Linked DNA regions of Arabidopsis thaliana. The protein of the gene in region 1 interacts with the protein of each later gene in a pairwise test. Each region holds a gene or a part of one and is shown in the gene's direction. Other genes may lie near its edges.

Region 1 (3,503 bases):
CACGTACTTTGATATCTTGACGGAGCCTTTGAATTTCAATCAAATTTTCTACAACGTAGTTCCTCATTTTGTATATCCTAAGCCAAACCCAAAACAACTGATCCTGAAACCATTCACAGAAACAAATTAATAGATATTTATAAGATACAAATTTAAATATTTTTCATATAGTTTTTGTACCTCAACGTTGATCTTAAGGTTTGCCATAGTGGCTTCAGTTCTTGCGTTAACAAACCTCCATTGAAGTAATCTGTTTTGAAAAATCCTAAACCGGTGATAATCCTCCTCTTGTACCGGAGATACTTTCTTCTGCGCCATGAAGTACTTCAAAACTCCTGCCACCGCTCCACCGCCACCGCTTCTTATCTTGGCCTTGCTTACGGGTGACTCAGGCGGCGTCATGCACATTGAAGTCGTCGGAGCTGAGCTGGACAGAGGCGTCTTCATAGTCGAAAGTCTTCCAGGAGACAACGCCCACGCCGATGGTGAGCTGGCTCCCGGCTTTACCCCTCTCGATGAAGCGTTACTACGAGGACTACCACGCGTACGTTGCTCCAAGTACCGAGCAAACGACTCTCTGCTTCTACCGTTGTTTATCTCTTGAGATCTTGATGCGCTGTTTCTCGCCGGGATTATGTTCTCGCCGGATTTAGAGTCGGATGATCCGATGGGTCTGGAGGATCTTGTTGTGGACTGTGATCTGGTTATCATCACTCGTTTGCTTGAATTGGAAGGCGAAGAGGAAGAAGATGAAGAAGTAGAAGACGATAACGAGGCGTTTAAGGACACTGGGAGAGAGATTGAAGAGCTTATAGTCCGGCTCCGGTTATTATTGGGCGATGGAGGACGGAGTCTCCGACCGGTGGTTGCCATTTTCTTCTTTAATATATGACGACGGTTAACTATATGACTATATCATACAAGACTTATATTCGGTTTCGTTTCTCGACTCACTTGCCCCTGTCCTTAAGACTCTTATAGTAAAGCTGGAATTATATGGTTCAAGGAATCGTCTAGTCTATATACACTGGTTTGAACAATTGTGATATATAATATAGTTAGGGGTATATTATATTTAATCTGTTAGATAACGGTTGGGGTACTTGAAGATCTGTAGGAGTTGACAGCACGTAGAGGCAGAGGTAAGAACACTTCTGCATGTAGTGTGTCTACATAATAAAATATAGAGTGTATTTTTTACACACACCAAAAAGAGAGATTATAATTAATGTATTATGTCAAAGCATATATGAAGGTCAGCTTAGCTAGAGACACGTCTTTTGTTTATCTCTCGACTAAACAACATGGCGTTTTAATAAAATCAAAACTTAAAAGGTCCAATTCAGAACGGCCCCATAGTATATAGTCTACGTTGAATAAATAAACCTCAAGATAGCGTCAAACTCTTTAGTCTTTACCCAAAAATATTTTTTTTTAAATAACGTCAAAACTCTAAGTCTTGACCTCAACACCAATATATATTTGCCTTCTCCAATATCTGATTTTTTTAATTGTTTATCCGAGTCTTCTTGGTCTTTTCGAATGTTTGCCCGAACCAGACCTTCCCACGTTCGGTGGTTGGTGGCCGCCTCGGCCTTTGGTTGATTTCTGTCCACATTTTGGTCCTTTTCATTCATGTACCATGTTCTAGGGTCATTTGACTTGTTGACCATAAATCTACTAAAACAGGCCTAATACCGATGGGCCGTAGCCCGTTAATAAACAAGACAATTTATATTTGTTTCACTTAGCTTGGGAGCCACGGATCTCTAGAAACATCCAGAGAAATATCAATCTCCCCACTTCTCCAGAACATTCACTCACTGACAATATCCCACCTTCAACACTTAACTCCTGTATATAGTCCTCCCCTGTCTCCAGTTTCGTCGCACACAGTTCTCAGATAAATACTAAACTCACTGTTAAAACTTTCTCAACAAAGCTTCCTGTTTCTCTACAAATGGCATCTGCTCTCGCTCTTAAGAGACTCCTATCATCCTCCATCGCTCCACGTTCCCGTAGTGTTCTTCGTCCAGCTGTTTCCTCTCGCCTCTTCAACACCAACGCCGTTAGGAGCTACGACGACGACGGCGAAAATGGAGACGGCGTTGATTTATATCGCCGCTCTGTTCCTCGCCGCCGTGGTGATTTCTTCTCAGGTAACAAACCAATTGTTTCGCTTTTCCTCCAGATCTATGTCTCTCTGTTGTTAACGTAGCGAAAATCTAGTAAGAAAACAGGTATTAGCTTACACTGAGCTCAAAATCTTGACATGATTGATTGTGTCTTTGTGTAGATGTGTTTGATCCGTTTTCGCCGACGAGGAGCGTTAGTCAAGTGCTGAATCTGATGGACCAGTTCATGGAGAATCCTCTGTTATCAGCTACTCGTGGCATGGGAGCTTCAGGAGCTCGTCGTGGTTGGGATATAAAAGAGAAAGACGATGCTCTGTACCTGAGAATCGACATGCCTGGGCTGAGCAGAGAGGATGTGAAGCTGGCTTTGGAGCAGGACACTCTGGTGATTAGAGGAGAAGGAAAAAACGAGGAAGATGGTGGCGAGGAAGGAGAGAGCGGTAATCGGAGATTCACAAGCAGGATTGGATTACCGGATAAGATTTACAAGATCGATGAGATTAAGGCGGAGATGAAGAACGGAGTGTTGAAAGTTGTGATCCCGAAGATGAAAGAACAAGAGAGAAATGATGTTCGTCAGATCGAGATCAACTAAAAACGTCGACGTTTTTTTCTGTTCTAGTTTTGTTGATAGGTCTTTGAATAAGAAGTGTGTGTAGTTTGGCACGGTCGATGTTGAGTCATGTAGTCTCTAAAGACTAAAAGGTTATATGTTTCTTTCTTGAGACGGTGGTTTTTTGTCTTGCTTAAACCAAAATTTGCATTCCAAATCAAAGCACTAATTAAATAAGTTCCTAATCGTGTATTCTTTTAGCTAACTCGGTCGGTTTACATGCCTTTGTGGTTATGAGACTGGAGCTTATGGAACGTATTTGGGTTTAAAATTTTCTGTAGACTAGGAACTAGGAAGACTTTAAGACGAATTCTGAGGCTGCGTAAGTTGTCGACGGACTGGTCTATTAATAACGCGTAAAAGTGTTAGGCCCGTTCGAGTAGAATAGCGCGTTGGACAGCCCAACTTGAATGAATCGATCGACTTTTATTAAAAAAACAAAAGTAGGGCAAAAAACAAAAAACAGAACCTCGACATTAACCTAAACCTAAGAGCAAAGCAAATCGACGGCGACGGGAAAATAGAACCGCAGATCTCTGTCTCCTCTCTCTCTCGTAACTGTTTGTTCGATGGCACCGAAGAAGGCGGAGGAAGTGGTCGAAAGCCCTCCTGTTTCCAGTGAAGAAGAAGAATCTGGCTCATCTGGAGAAGAATCTGAATCTTCTGCTGAAGTTCCGAAGAAAGTCGAGTCTTCGCAAAAGCCTGAATCTGACTCTGAAGGCGAATCTGAATCGGAGTCCAGTTCTGGGCCCGAG
Region 2 (3,629 bases), on another chromosome or scaffold:
AAATACAAAAGTTCCTGTTTATTAACAAAAATGAAATTATAGATATTTCTAATACTACACTATACACTAACCAAACTTATTGTCCCGTTTAGATTTTCCTTTTTAACACCTTTTTTGAAATTAATGTTTTTCAATTTCATTTCGAACAGAGTCCTATATACATCACATATCCAATTCAAATTGAAATGAATTTTGATATTCTGTCAGAAATTTTTATAAACTTTCATCTGAAAACCAATAATTGTGTTCCCAACATTGTTAATGAGATTCTGAAAAAAAACTTACCACCCATCCAGATCCCTGTACAGCAGCGCCTTCCGCGTTCATTTTTTGGATCAATCCTTCTAGTGATCCGAAATGAGCATCGATCGCCGAAGCCAAAGGATCATGCGGTGGTTTGCCACCTCCTTCCTATATATCAATTTGACCCCTTAGAAGAGACAATTAAACTCATCAGAAATAGACACATGGAGTGACGACAAAAAAACATTTTTGTACATGAACCGGGGCTAGGTTTTTCCAGAAGATTGCATGGTTAACGTGCCCTACAAGCAAAGCAACAGAAAAAAAAAAATCAAAATCCTTACGATCAACAAGCACCTATCGGAAGAATTTAATGAGAACTTAGTCGTTTAAAGCTAGGGTTTGACCTCCGCCGTTGAACTTGATGAGGCTTTGGAGTTTGACGACGGAGGAGTGATCACCGTCAGCCATGGCAGAACGAAGGCTGTTGAGGGCTTTGTTGTACTGAGTGACATAAGTCTGGTGGTGTTTCTGATGGTGTAGCCGCATGATCTCCTCACTGATTGCTGGCTCTAGCGCATCATAAGCATACGGAAGATCAGGAAGCGAAGCAGTCTTCATTGATTCGAGACACGGTTCCATGGTTGCTCCTCTGGCGTCGTGAAGAGTCGTAGCGAAGATGGCAACGAAGATAATGATAATAACGGTGGTCGTCATGATCTTTTTATATATGTAGACACTAGAAAATAGAAATAAAGCGAGAGGTGGATTTATTCAGATAAGTATATAAAAGTATTTTCTTAGCAAACAAAAGTATATAATTTTACTAAGCCACGTAAACTTTGACTGATCTACTTGTCAATCTCTAAGGCTTCATGGCTTTAAGCGTTTTGCATAGTTGCTCGATTTGTGTCGCAACCTTAGGTTGATGCATATTTATGTTGTTTTTGCATGTGCTTTTGTCTTTGTGTAGTTTATGGCAGGAGAAACGTAAAACGCACCTAACATTCCAAACCTCAGTCCAATGATCCAATCCTTATATGCGAAAGATCAACGCACATAAGTATAACAATAGTTTAGTGGTCTGGGCCATACCGAAAAGGCCGAAACTTTCCTCAAAAATAAAAAACGACGGGCCCAATCTATTCTAAAAGACATTGTCCACCGTGGAATCTGACGTGGCGTATCTTATGGTCTAGATTATAAATAACAGAGATAACACGTGTTCACCACAATTTAAATCCAGTACCAGCGTGTGCCCGCCCAAGCCATGCACACAGCTAAACCGCGTCGCCACGTTCTCCATCTCGTACCGGCTTCACGTAATAGCAACCGTTAGATTTACATCGAACGGTCCATATCTGATATCTAATTAGTCTATATCGTCAACACTTTACAGGGAATAATCACCTACTTAAGCCACCTCAGACTTTTGAGGATAACGTGAAGAATAAGATAAACGCGATTTCTACCATCTCTAAATCTCAACCGTCCGATCAAACAACTTACACAACTTCCGTGCTGGAGAAATAAAAAAATTAGGTATTTAATAATTCATCATTGCCATTGGATTGTGTGTGGCTGCGTCAGTAAAACGTATTCTTAAAAGCAACCATTGGTGTGATTGACTCTATAAGAGAATTCGTCAGCGTGAAGCAATCTCCAATCTAATCGCAGCATATCTTCTCCGATTCCTATTCGTCTCTGCAATTGAATCTTCCGGTAGGCGAAGATGGCGACGTCTGCGAGGATTTGTTGCGGAGGAGGAAGTGCATGCGCCGTTCGTTGTGATCGTCGCACGTTAAATTTGAATTCTCGATCGTCATGTGTTGTTCCAGTGACGAATCGACGGAATATGTGTGCGATCGGGAAGATTTCGATGTCGATGGAGGATTTGTCACCACCGTCTGCGGCGGTGAAGATTGAAAGGATCGGTGGAAGGAAACGCGGTGGATCTGTTGTGTCGAGGGAGAAGCTAGATGTGTGGTTGAGAGATTCGGTGGTTGAGATCGTGAAGAATCTTAGAGAGTCGCCGTTATTGATGCATTTATACGCGGAGGCTAATGGTGGTTTGACGACGACGGCAACGAATCCAAAGGCGGAGGATTGGACAGAGATGGAAGGAAAGTGGGGTAGAGGAGAAGAGAGGACGCCGGAAGGAGTTATATTGGTGGAGAAGCTCGCAGACGGTGACATAGCAGATGATGATGATCACGATGGTGGCGCGTGTGGGGAAGATACAAGCGCGTGGGGGATTGTGGCGCAAGGAAGAGGATCGGATACTGGGCCGGTTTGTTATCTATTGAAAACGACCCGGGTCCGGTCGGGTATGGGTACGGTTTGCACCCATTTCTGTTTGGTTAAGGTCAAGAGTTTTAGGGAAACGGCTATGTCACAGTTGAATAATTCGTGGTTGGTGCAGACTGGTCAATGAGCAGTGATTGTCAAAGGATTTGCACTGTAAATTATTTATACTCTTTGGGTTTTGATTATGAAACCCTTATGGATGATCAAATTACATTTGTTATTAATACAGAACATTTTTTAGGAATTTGGATTGGTGATATAAATGTAAATAAAATGGTCAAAGTTGGTTGGTTATAGTGATTTGTTTAATCAAAGAACATTGTTAGTTTTGTTGCTATTGTAGTATAGAGGATTTGAATCAAGACAAGTAGACAACTTAATCCGTGTAAGATCTATATGCAATTATGCATTCATTAACACCACAATAAGCAAAAGTGTAGGTGGATTTAAAACTTCTGTTAGTGATCATAGTGCAAAGCCTATAGCTGATACTGCCAGAAGTTGCATTAGAGTTCATAACCTCCGTCGGAAAATTCCGGAGTCGATCTCCGGAGATGGAAAAGAGAGAAAATGAATAAAACATGGTCGTGATGGAAAATTATGGATTGTTTGATTGGATCATTTATATGGATTTGGATATTGGATTTAGATTTTAAGGCCCGTAAATATATGGAAGGTATAGGCCTTTGTTCCTATGGGCTATGAATGATCCAATGTTTATTTTCTTCTTTTTTATGAATTCTCTGAAAGAATCCAATAAATTGAAATGACATACAATAAGCTAATCTAAAGGGGCCAAGGAGTTTCATTGTTTATGACTTTGACAAGCGATACACATTTAGCAGCACAAGACATTTCACGATCGGACTTACGGAAGTGAATGATTACACTTAATCAACCACCTCTAAATTATTGGCATCACCATCTAAGACTCTTAAGTTATGGCTTAATTATGATCACCATTATATATATTTTTTTTTTAACATTTCACAATCTTATTTTTTTATTTTTTTGGTTTATACAAGGTTCCTTTTTGGGATTTTTTTGGAAATAATCCAATAAATGAAAATGACATATAT

The links.
Region 2: the proteins of HSP23.6-MITO (region 1) and AT3G56360 interact in a two-hybrid assay, tested with the Arabidopsis thaliana proteins (one large-scale study listed by BioGRID).

The regions. Positions count from the first base shown.
Region 1 is NC_003075.7:12,915,129-12,918,631, forward strand, and holds HSP23.6-MITO (mitochondrion-localized small heat shock protein 23.6), read left to right. Parts: upstream 1-1,797; 5' UTR 1,798-1,960; coding exon 1,961-2,159; intron 2,160-2,296; coding exon 2,297-2,730; 3' UTR 2,731-2,982; downstream 2,983-3,503. Other genes in the region: QWRF7 (QWRF motif protein (DUF566)), read right to left, coding at 1-103, 181-873; AT4G25210 (DNA-binding storekeeper protein-related transcriptional regulator), read left to right, coding at 3,318-3,503.
Region 2 is NC_003074.8:20,894,666-20,898,294, forward strand, and holds AT3G56360 (uncharacterized protein), read left to right. Parts: upstream 1-1,666; 5' UTR 1,667-1,975; coding exon 1,976-2,677; 3' UTR 2,678-3,082; downstream 3,083-3,629. Other genes in the region: AT3G56350 (Iron/manganese superoxide dismutase family protein), read right to left, coding at 286-411, 499-545, 651-960.